3 linked regions of the Nothobranchius furzeri genome follow. The protein of the gene in region 1 purifies or fractionates together with the protein of each later gene. This does not show direct contact. Links are inferred from orthologs where the notes say so. Each region holds a gene or a part of one and is shown in the gene's direction. Other genes may lie near its edges.

Region 1 (4,259 bases):
GAGGCGTCAAAAGGAGAGATCAGGCTGAAGGGGGAGAGAGGATGCTTCAGGAGCAGAGAGGAGGTTTCAGGGGGAGATATGCAGCTCTAGGATGAGAAGAGGCTTCATGAGAGTGGCAGTTATATCTTGAAACCTCCTCTGGACTCTCTACAGCTTCTATTTGCTGCAACTTTTGACTTCATCTTAATCAACAATCAAAAAAGAACCAGTTGCTTAAGGGTCACAGCTGGAGATGTGAAGCTGAATGATGCTGGAACTGGACCAGTTCTGGTTTCACCAGCTCTTTATGCCTGTACAAAAACAAACAACCATGATCAGATTGGATCTTCTCAGGTTTTAGGTACTTAAAAGATTTCATATGGTTTTTTATTGGACCATGTTCCTGGATTAACCAGACCCAGAGATTCTGTCTCAGTGGGGGATTCCTCACATCTCAATACATCTCCTGAGGAGTGCGTCAGATGTTCACGTTCAGGTTCAGATAAAGCTATAGGACCAGTTCAGATTCTGCAGAGCCTAAAGATTGATCCCAGGAACCCATATCACAAATGTTCAGAGATAGTTCTGATGGGTTCTGTGGTTCTATGATTGTGATGTGTTTATAGTAAGACAAGTCTTTATATGTGTCTCGGATGTCAGTGAGACAGAGACACATGTCCTCTCAGGGAGACAATCAGATGGGGACTATGTGGTTAAAATATCACTCTTTATTTACAACGAAATAATAGACTTATTACAACTATTTGGGCTAATTTCTAATTTTACATGTTGTACTAAAATGATACTCATTAAAACAAACACACTATCTTTATGACGAGGAAATGGCATTTTAACCGACCCTTATTTATGCTAACAGGAGTTATGCTAATGTAGCCAACAGCGTTACCATGGAGACCACCAGCTATGCTAGCAGAACAGAGCTAACAGCATCTCTGTCATGAACACAGGATCCAGCGGTTGTTTTTGAAGGAGAAAAGGTCCTTCAAAGGTCTCCAAGATGGTGCGAGATGTTCTGGATCTCTGCTCGGTTCTATACGGTCTGAAACGAACCAGAACCAACATCAGACCAGACGGTGTCTGTCTGCGTCCGACAGAGGGCGCTGCATCCCGCATTTTACACGCACACACACACGCGCGCGCGCGCGCGCGCGTGTGTGTGTGTGTTTGTGTGTGTGTGAACGCGCGCACATACACAGAGGTATGGCAGGCATTTACTTACGCGCATAAAAACATGCGTGCGCACACACAGGACTCTTTTGTGAAACAAACAAAAGTTTTATTCTAATTTAATTCTGGTTAATTTACCTTTTTTTAAGTAAACGAAACATCAGTCAAGCGTTTTGGTTCCGATGGGGTGGTGCAGTTCGGGAGACGATCCGCATCAGGTGATCAGAACCTTTAGTCTAGGAGCGAGACCCAAACTCCTTAAACAACACTTGGGATCATGATCGGTTCCGAGAACCTGCAGGGTTCTGTTGTCCCACCCGGGTCCCGGAGGGGTTCGAGTCAGACAGACTGAAGGAGTGTGGTGTTGTCCCCGCCCACCCATTCCAACTATAAAACCGCTGTTTGACAGCTCGGAGGTTACTGAGGACCAGGAATCGGACCGGCAGCTTCTCTTCGTTCCAACACAAAGTGTCAGTCAGTCCTAAAGACTCTGGTTCCGGTCGGCTCCTGTCCGCAGCGGTCCGACTCACCTGAGTGTGTGACTTTCCAAACTGGATTTCCGGAGCTCCTCGCCATGCCCGCCCGGCTTTAGGTTCTCCATGGAGCTCTCGAACCTGTACGAGGTCGCGCCCCGGCCCCTGCTGAGCAGTCTGCCCCACGGCCAGCAGCCCCCCTCCGGCTATAGAGACCCGTCTGACCTCGGGGGGGAGATCGGAGACAACGAGACCTCCATAGACCTGAGCGCCTACATCGATCCGTCTGCCTTCAACGACGACTTCCTGGCGGACCTGTTCCACCACAACTCGCGACAGGACAAAGTCAAGATGATGAATGGAGAGTATGACTGCGGTCCGGGTCCACAGCAGCTCTACATGCCTAACTACATGGAGTCCAAGCTGGAGCCGTTCTACGAGCACAACCCGCCGCGCCTCCGACCGGTGGCCATAAAGCAGGAGCCCCGGGATGACGAGGACCTGAACCCGGGCATGCCCCCTTCCTACCACCACCCGCACGCGCATCCTCAGCAGTACCAGCAGCAGCAGCAGCCGCAGATGCCGCACCTGCAGTACCAGATTGCGCACTGCGCGCAGACCACCATGCACCTCCAGCCGGGCCACCCGACGCCTCCACCGACTCCAGTGCCGAGCCCGCACCATCACCACACGCACCAGCACCTGCAGCAGGGCGGCATGAAGCTGCTCGAGCAGCGGGGAGGCGGGAAATCTAAGAAACACGTGGATAAGAGCAGTCCGGAGTACCGGCTGAGGCGCGAGCGCAACAACGTGGCTGTGCGTAAGTCTCGGGACAAGGCCAAGATGCGGAACCTGGAGACCCAGCAGAAGGTGGTGGAGCTGACGACCGACAACGAGCGGCTCAGGCGGAGGGTGGAGCACCTGACCCGGGAGCTGGACACGTTACGGGGCATTTTCAGACAGCTGCCGGACGGGTCGTTCAAACCCATGGGCAGCTGAGAGATCTGAATCGGACTGGACCGGAGAGTGCTGGATTTGTTTAGAGACAGAAGCAGCTGAGTTCTCAAAACAGCTGCACATATGCAGAACTTTTGGGTCAAGGAGCAGAAAACTTAACAGACCCGGTTCGGTTCCGGATGATTTTAATCTTCAGAGCAGCAGAACGGAACTCTTCCATCAACAAACTGAACCCGTTGGAGACTTTTAACTTGTTTGTTTGTTTATTTGTTTGTCGTGTTCTCGTGCCTTTAACGTTTGTGCAAAAGCCGATAAGCTGAATCAGATGTTCAGTGCCTTAAACAGACTGAGTCCAGAACCACTCAGAACATTTCAGTGCAGCTACGATGAGGTTAGTGCGGGACCAGCCTGCGTGCACGACGCCTTCATTACAGAATTTTATTTAATCACAAACGATCTCATGTACGGAACCAAACCGGACCGAAACCTGTTTCTGAGCTGTTTGCTTGGCTGAACTGTGTTTTGCAGGTGATTGGCTGTTGACACCACGTGGTATCAAACTCACCTTCACACTTGCCAGAGATAAACTGTCTGGGGAGTTTGGGTCAGAGCCAGAACCCATGTTTAATAAAACTAGTTCTGAATGACCCTAGCAAAGCCAGGCTGAGGGTTGTTCGGTACTGAAACCGTTACAAACAGAACCGCCAAAGCCCTGCAAGCCCAACCCTGACCCTGTTCAGACTGAAGCTCTCATGCACTAAAGCCAGATACATTGTGGGACATGGGGAGGCAGTGATGGTACTGATCATGGGGAGGGGGTGTACTGATACAGGTTCTGGACAGAACCCAACAGAACTACGCCCCTCTAAACATGTTTTATTGTGATCAGAACAGCTAAATGTGAACCAGGTTTCAGCATCACTCTTCATCTTCCTGCTTGTTGCAGTCATCTTCACTCAGTGCCTTTTGATCGCTCAGATGACCTTTGACCTTTGTCCGATCCCTCAGATGGTTCTCTGACTTGTTCCAGGGAGGAAGAAAGAAGCACTTTGTTGTTTATTTCTGTAATATAAACATAAAATATAAATGAAAAACCAAAATCTGAAGTAATAAAGAAACTTGTTTTATCAAATTTGGTTCTGGTGTTCTTCTGAGAGTGTTCGGCTCTATGTGCACACACACACACACACACACACACACACACACACACACACACACACACACACACACACACACACACACACACACACACACACACACACACACTAAGTCAAAGATATTCATTTTTACTCTAAAACCAGCTGCTTAATGAGGCGTCAGACAGCTGATCTACTGGTTCCAGCTTCTGTTTCCTGTGTATTTAAATGATTATTATTCCCTCAGTTTGTGCTTTAAGGTTCTGTTTGTGTCATGACTCTGCTGCAGGCGACCTGCCATCATGTCGTAAAATCGGAACTCCCTCAGATGTTCCGAAGGAACTTCAATAATCCCTCAGGAAGGTTCCTCTGGAAAATTCAGCTTCCAGCAGCGGCACACAGAAAAGTTTCAACAACAAGACGAACAAAGGAGCCAACAAAAAACCTCAAATGAATAAAAAACAAATGAAAAAAATTACACGAAACACATCAGTGGTATCAGATACATCGCGCATTCAGTAACATT
Region 2 (4,207 bases), on another chromosome or scaffold:
AGCCAGAAAGCAAAGCTCTAAATTAGGGGTGCACAATATATCGGTATCGGCCATTTTTTAACATATCTGTATCGGTCCGATAAATAAAACTAGGTCGATATTAACTGGTATTTTTTTCCATCTTGTTTCCATTTGTTTATCAGTTTCAGAGGGTGAGGGGGTGCTGTGTATTTTAGTCAAGTGACAGTGATTGCAATCATCTCAGTAGAGTAAGTGTGTGTGTGTGTGTGTGTGTGTGTGTACATAATAATGTAAATTCAGCTTTAATAATATTCAGTCTTTACAAAATCTGCTGATTTTAGAAGCATTAATGTCAGTATATCGATATCGGCCCTAACAGTGATATTAATATCGGTATCGGCCCAAAAATGTCACATCAGTGCATCTCTACTCTCAGTTTACCTGCCGGTCTTGATCCCAGTCCTCACCTGTAGTCATGAGCTTTGGGTAATGACAGAAAAAACAAGATGGCGAATACAGGGCGTACACTGTGCGACTTTTTCGTTGGTTGTTCGTCATCTGACACTGTTCACAGGGCACAGCCACGAGTCATGTTCTCACGCTCTGACCGCTCGCACTGTTGTGGTAGTAACACGCCGGTCCAAAGAATGTGTTTTAAGAGTTTTTTTCTCAACGGGTCGAACCTGTGAATCCAGAAACCTGAAAGAGAGGAGACTGTTGTGCCGTCATTGATGTCTGTTGTCCTTGAGGCCTGCCGTAGTTGTGGGAGGACACGCAGGGGTTTATGGGGAATAGAAGTAGAGGAAGAATGAAAGGCATGTAGGAACTAAACCGAGGTTTTGGGATCTGCTTTTACTTGACATGAATACAAAAGGTGCTTTCTTAACATTAACATGTGCAGAGAAAACTGTAAGTAAAAGGTGGAAACGTGTGTGGAGATGAATATGGCTGGCCAGACATTTTGGCGCGTGCGCTGTGTGAGCGGTTCTGGTACATTTGGGTCGCGGTGCAGCTTCAGCGGTGTCATACCCTCACAAGGGATCAGCAGAAATTTAAATATGCTTGATTCTCGTGCGATTGGGAGCTGGTCGGGGGGTCTTAACCGCCTCTCGTAACCCCTTCTATACTACACGACACAAAACTCGACCTGACCTCAAAGACTGTTGCATGGGTGGAAAATTGGCTCAAAATGAGCAGAAAATCACACAGCAGGCCTGGCTTTACAGAGTTTTAGGGATTATAGATTATAACAAAAGTAGCAGCATGAAACAAAAGAACAATCAAATGTCTAGTATAACATCTATTCTGGTTTATGTAGGAAGGCTCATCAGGAAGGTGTTTAACACAGTGGGCTGTTTCTACTCAGGATCTATTTAGTTTTTCACTTTCAACCAACACATCCTGCTGAAATGTGCTCACTTCTGCATCTTTACGTTTCTGGCCTGCTAGCATCATTTTTTAGTGAATTTTAACCGGTTGCTTAGTAATACTGTCACAGAGCACTATCAACTACATCTTACATTGTTGTCAGTGAACGCTGCTTTTTCTCGTAAGGGTTTGATGAATGACTGTAAACAGCCACATCTGCAGCCCAGTGAGGCACCGGCGTGCTCTCCTCAGGAGTTCAGCGTTCAGATTCATCAGCTGACGTTTACCAGGCTCACATCGAAAGCAAAACTCTGCTTCATGCGTACACACCGTGTGTTTAGCTCGAGTATGTGAAGGTTGGCTTAGATGAAGCGAAGCTTGTGCTGTTACTAATGCCAGTCTTGCGTTTGGCTCTCTTGGAGGTGGTGACGCTGTGGTACCGACCTCCTGAAGTTCTGCTGCAGTCCACGTACGCCACTCCGGTGGATATATGGAGCACCGGCTGCATCTTTGCTGAGATGTTCAGACGCAAGTGAGTCAACATAACGTTCAGATCACCGGTATCTGATCTTCTGTCAACTCGGGTTTAGCGGTTTGCTACGACTGGGATGTTTCCAGCTGATAGATGAGCGGTCTGGAAATCCGATAGAATGATTATCTGTGAAACCCGTTTGTTTTTAAAGACTTAGTTCTAGTTTATAACCCAACTTCTGATGATGATTTGCCTTTTAGACTAAATTTAGAATTTAAAAAAAAAGGGAAGGAAAAAAGCTCTGCATCCTCTTCCAAACAAGCCCGGAGATCAACGTTTTCTAGGATGTCAGCATTTGATTTCAGGCTGATGATTTTCAGGGACATAGTTTTACAGATTTTGACAGCTGGAGTTTAGTCTGGGAGCAGCCTGGGTGGACGTACCTAGAAGATATGAAGTTTATGTGTGATGTGTGCAGAGTGGCTCCATCTAGTGGTGGAAAACAGCATGACATCAGCAGCCAACAGGGTTGAAGAACTGTATTTGTTTTAGATGATTAAAATAAAAATTACGTAACTAATTTTACATGTATCGTTTTGTTTTTTAAGACCTTTATTCTGTGGAGAATCAGAAATGGACCAGCTTGGGAAAATATTTGAGTGAGTAACAAAGACTTAGCGGAACATCAGCAACCAGAACGACCAAGCAAATCATTCATTTCACTCATCTGCTTTCAGAGTTATCGGCTTGCCGCAGGAGGAGGAGTGGCCGACCGGCGTCACCGTGTCGAGGAAAAACTTTCCCGCTGTCAAAGCTCGCCCGATCACCGACTTTGTCCCAGAGATAAACGAGCAGGGGGCCAAACTGTTGATGGTAAGACTTGAGTTAACAACTGAAGGCCGATTCTTTTCTCACCTGCCAACGCCCCGGACCCCCGGGCTTTCCTGAACTAAAGCAGAATCGTACAGATGCATGACTTTTCAGCACATTATTAAAGAAATATGAAAATATAATGTAGAAAAGAAATCACACAGAAATATTTTCCTGCAGAAAGTGTCACAGCTAACCATGTGTGGGGGGAATGTTGTCAACCAAATGACTGTAAAAAAAAAAAATAAAATCTATTTTTTGCCTGTTCTCTTTCCTCCACAGCAAATGCTGACCTTTGACCCTTTGAAGCGAATATCAGCGCTGAACGCTCTAGAACATCTGTATTTCCAGGATGAGGAGACGTCGCCTCAGACAACCAGTTGAAATCATGCAGTAGAAAAAGAACCAACAGGATCCAGCGCCCTCTGAGTACAGATTATGTTTAGGGAATATTTCTTAGTTGATCCTGCTTCAGAAATCAGGATGAAACTCTGTGAGGATGAATTTGATGAGCACTGCCATGTTTTTGAGCTTGTACAAGTCACATGTAAAGATGTTATAGCAGCAGTTAAAGGGCAGCACTAGTGATTTTGATGTTTAGTCTTGGAGTCAACATGCAGAAATGTCTCGTTTAAATGCTGCTTTTGTTGCCGTACATTCTCCAGATAGGTTAGTGATGTTTGTCTTACACAGCTGTAACCCGTGTTGAAGCTGCTCGCTGTCTATAATGTGAGTGGCTGTATCTGAATCATGAACATTTTAAATGAAGTTTCAAACAGTTACAGATAAACGCACAAAAGCTTAAAAAATTGGAATTTCTTTTGAGTTATTGCACAAAAGTTTTTTGTGGAATGAATTTCACACCTTCAAATGTCACTAAACACCACACACTGAAATCTGAAATGAATAAAAGAAAGTATTCAATAATTCTGGGTCAGTTTGTTGTGTTTTACAGATGACTGTCTATAAAAATAAAACATCCTCTATCTGAACAGATGAAATATACTTTGTTCTCTAACCCATGTAAGTTTGTATTTGGAGCCACAATCAGAATTAAAGTGTAAAAACACTACAGGCAAATCCAACTTTGATGTAATGTCCTTAAAACAAGTCAAAATGAGGTTCAGTAGTGTGTGTGTGGCCTCCACGTGGTGAGGTGGTGGATGGTCTGAGGGATCTCCTCTCAGATCTGGACTAAAGCATCCTCCACTGCCTGGGCAGTCCGTGTATGATGATGTCCCACATGTGCTCAATTGGATTCAGGTTTGGCGAACAGGCAGGCCAGTCCATAGCATCATGCAGGAACTGCTGACACACTCCAGCCACATGAGGTCTAGCGTTGTCTTATATTAGAAGGAACCCAGGGCCAGCCGCATCTGCATGTTATAGCATGTTGAGGGCCGTGCCACCCCCCACCATTGCTGCCAAATCGGTCCTGCTGGAAGATGTTGCAGGCAGCAGGAGCACGGTGTTGGGCTAAAACACAACCCCAGCTTGTGGATGTCAGGCCCTCATTCCACCCTCTTGGAGTCTGTT
Region 3 (3,650 bases), on another chromosome or scaffold:
AACATTTATGAATGTATGAATAACATGGTGAAAATATGACTTTGAAAAAGTGAACTCTCAATTTTTTCTCTTATGATATGCTAAATAACCAAAAATATTGCTGTTAGATTATGACTGTTTGACTTTACAAATGGCACCCCATAGTTTATCACCCAATGGCCCTTTTGTAACTGGGTTTAAATTAAACTGAGTGGAAGTAAAGTGCGCTGACTTCAAATGAGTTGCATTATGGTTTTGTCTTTAAAAAACTTTTGTTGAAACTTAGGCTGGCTCTATGTAACTTATGAAACGCACACATGGCAGTTTTGGTTGCTTTTAGCACCCCCTAGTGTCTGTTTAGTAGACTTGAAAGCAAAAGTTTTCTCCTCCCTATGCGTCCATCTTTTTAACACTTTAATCTAATGCCTGAAATGTCTCCTCAGCCTTCATTAGTGTCTGCATGAGCGATTCATAACTAAATCAAACAAATCAGCTGTGTTCACGATCTAAAACATGCTGGAACCAGACTGCAGTGATATGCAATCCATGTCCGCTCAGACCACCGGTGTTGTTGCAAATGCTGTATTCTGGCCACAGAGGACGGTGGGAGGCTGAGTGGCATTTCATTAACCCTGTAAAGGGTTATTTTAGCACATGCTGGCTTGAGAAAATGGTTTAAAAATATGAAAAAGTTGTGTAACATGGCTTTAACATAGAAGCAAGCATTTTCACCTTATGATTGAATGTATTAATATTTTCACATCATGTTGTCTCAAGTTTGTTTTATTTGAGAATAAGCCCTTTAATAGGCCAAAGTTTTTACAGTGTTGTTTGCTTGGTTACATTTTTTTTAATTAAAAACCCCTTTCTTTTTAAAGCCATGTCATCTTGATAAAAATAGACCTTTAGATTTTTTAAATGACCAGCTCAAATATGCACAAAACTTTTTCAGATGATTAAATAAAATCTCCGTCATTATTAAGTGTTGTTTGTGGATTTCCATCAGTTCTAATATTTTCAACTGCACACTTCATTTTACCTTCATAACCCCAATGACATCACTGTTTTTGAGGCAGTTGAAAGCTTTTACTGTGTCATAGCAAGAAGTTTTCACACAATGAAAGTTTCATATTTCAGATGTATTGTGTGTACCAGAGTCACACAAAACTATGCTTTCTTATTTGGTGTGTCTTGTTTTAAGCTTGTGACACTGCATTCAATAAGAAAAACAAGTAGAATAATGGACAAAGTAGCTACACATATAGACTAGACATTTAAAATAACAGCTTTATTAAAAACACATCTAGTGACCACCCAATTTTGCAAAAGAAGTGTCATGGAAAAAAACAGAGGTGAGGACTCGAGGCACATGACTTGGACTTGAGTCATTATTTTACTGACTTCTGACTTAACTTGATAAAATCTATAAAGACTTGCAACTTGACTCGGACTTGAACACCAATGACTTGCAACTTGAATCGACTTACATCTGTTGACTTGACAATGACTTGAGCATATTTGATATTTTAGCACAAAAGTGGCATGGCATGGACAAAAATCATAAATAATTCTTCGTTCTGGGTTTGATCTTGTACTTCTAAATGCAGCAGCACTTTGTTTATAATTGGACTTGGTTGTCTTTGACTTGGACTTGACTTACGTGTGACTTGCAAAGCAGTGACTTGGTCACACTTTTGACAAAAATCTAACATTTACAAATAAAAAAATAGTAAGGTTAAAGAAATTAATGACCACATTTCACAATTGAACCTCTGAAAAAGTGCGCCCGAAAGCCAACATTTTAGTAATTAAAATATGTTATTTTCATTTTTAAACAGGCGCTCTGGGACTGCCTTCACTGAACAGAAACATTTGGGGTCCTTTTTCTTTCACGTGTGCGCCTGCTGTGGGTAACCATGCCGAAGTCAAAGAGAGACAAGAAAAGTAAGCCAAAACGCTTTCATATTTAACTAAGTACAGCGTATTACATCGGCATCTATTTTAAACAAGTCTCTGGTCTAATAAATGTATTACTGATATATAAATGCTGCTAGGGAAGTACACTACAAGCTAATGCTAGCTTCATCATGGCAAGTCGCGTTGCTTTAGGCATCAAACTGAATTATTTCCCCCATTTTCTTCTCAGTTTCCTTAACTAAAACCACCAAGAAGGGCTTAGAATCAAAGCAGAAGTTAATCGAGGAGGTGAGTCTTTATGTTTTTCCCCCCGATCTGCTGTCACAGACTGGCGTTGGCTAAATGCATTTAAATTCTCCATCCGATCTTCTCTTTTAGCTACGGAAATGTGTGGACACCTACAGATACTTGTTTATATTTTCAGTTGAAAATATGAGGAATAACAAGCTTAAAGACATCAGGACAGCATGGAAACACAGCAGGTAATACAAATTAGTTTATTTTTAGTAAGTTATGAGTTAATGAGTGAATCATTTGCTGTCACGTGACCAGTTAAACTACAGTAGCGGTGGGTGGGAATCATCCGAAGTTTGTAATGGTATTACATATTAGCTGATTTACCTGTACACCAGTGCGACTTTGTAGGACATTTAAAGCAACTCGTTTTAATAACATCATGTGTTTGTTTTTAAAGGCTTTTTACTAATTGAACAAACACAATAAATATTTTTTATAAATAATTTGTTTAAATAAAATCACAGACTTCATACTAAAGTGCTTGTGGACTTCATCTTATTTTGAACAATGTAAACAACTGCCTATATTCGGAGTCCCAAGACCCCATCTTTAACAAAAAGGAATAGATTCAGGTAGAAGAAATTCACACCCAGCCTCAAAGAATGAGCTTTAATAACTTGTTTTCACTTAATTTAGCAAGCATTTAATGTATTATGTTCATGACACTAAAGCTTTTTCTGTTTAACACATTTCATACACAGAGGCAGTTCAATGTGGTTTCCAGTTGTAAGCTTAGTAAGATTATTAAAATCTGTGTGACAGCGTAAATGAGCAGATTTTAATGTCAGAATTGAAATGCATTAATAAAATGTGATCAAATTTAAATACACAATTATATGTAAGAATAAACTAAAGGGGCAAAGTTAAAGGGTGAGCGGTTACATTGCAGAAGATGCAGCATAAAAAACAGTGCGTGCCTGTGTGTGAGAGTATCTGAGGTAACTGGGGCAGGCTTGGCTTAACCTAAAACAGCTCTGATCAGATTGACTGGGACCAGATCTTATATAGTGCTGAAGGTGCAGTGATGAAACCAGTAAATGATCATTAAAGCACAAGAAGATTTTTGAGAAGCACAACATTTAATTCAGATCAGAGTTTGGGTTAAATGTAACAGACATGAGCAGAAATAAGAACGAGTATGCTAAACTCTACCTTTGTTTCACAAAGTCAATAATAATATTTTATGGTGAAACACCCTTGGAAGCACTTGATATGGATCCTAAAGCTTCAAGCCCTCTGGTGAACAATTGCATTTTAACGATTTATCTCAATGATACTTTCTGAAAATGAGTGTTTGACCAAACCCATCTCATCTCTCGTTTGTGTGCCACAGGTTCTTCTTCGGCAAAAACAAAGTCATGATTGTCGCTTTGGGAAAAGGACAAACCGATGAATACAAAGATAATTTGCATAAGGTAAGAAGACACTCCTGTCAGGTGAATTTGAGATGGGGGAAA

What was found.
Region 2: the proteins of cebpa (region 1) and cdk4 purify together in Homo sapiens (affinity purification with western blotting; 3 studies listed by BioGRID, with this or other methods). This does not show direct contact. The link is inferred for Nothobranchius furzeri from reciprocal best matches to the Homo sapiens genes CEBPA and CDK4.
Region 3: the proteins of cebpa (region 1) and mrto4 purify together in Homo sapiens (affinity purification with mass spectrometry; 3 studies listed by BioGRID and IntAct, with this or other methods). This does not show direct contact. The link is inferred for Nothobranchius furzeri from reciprocal best matches to the Homo sapiens genes CEBPA and MRTO4.

The regions. Positions count from the first base shown.
Region 1 is NC_091749.1:66,139,041-66,143,299, forward strand, and holds cebpa (CCAAT/enhancer-binding protein alpha), read left to right. Parts: upstream 1-1,367; 5' UTR 1,368-1,766; coding exon 1,767-2,639; 3' UTR 2,640-3,729; downstream 3,730-4,259. UniProt on the Homo sapiens protein: Transcription factor that coordinates proliferation arrest and the differentiation of myeloid progenitors, adipocytes, hepatocytes, and cells of the lung and the placenta.
Region 2 is NC_091743.1:49,241,543-49,245,749, forward strand, and holds the end of cdk4 (cyclin-dependent kinase 4), read left to right. Parts: intron 1-1,751; coding exon 1,752-1,861; intron 1,862-2,409; coding exon 2,410-2,460; intron 2,461-2,538; coding exon 2,539-2,674; intron 2,675-2,953; coding exon 2,954-3,055; 3' UTR 3,056-3,598; downstream 3,599-4,207.
Region 3 is NC_091743.1:63,518,522-63,522,171, forward strand, and holds part of mrto4 (mRNA turnover protein 4 homolog), read left to right. Parts: intron 1-1,817; 5' UTR 1,818-1,895; coding exon 1,896-1,923; intron 1,924-2,125; coding exon 2,126-2,184; intron 2,185-2,274; coding exon 2,275-2,378; intron 2,379-3,526; coding exon 3,527-3,608; intron 3,609-3,650. UniProt on the Homo sapiens protein: Component of the ribosome assembly machinery. Nuclear paralog of the ribosomal protein P0, it binds pre-60S subunits at an early stage of assembly in the nucleolus, and is replaced by P0 in cytoplasmic pre-60S subunits and mature 80S ribosomes.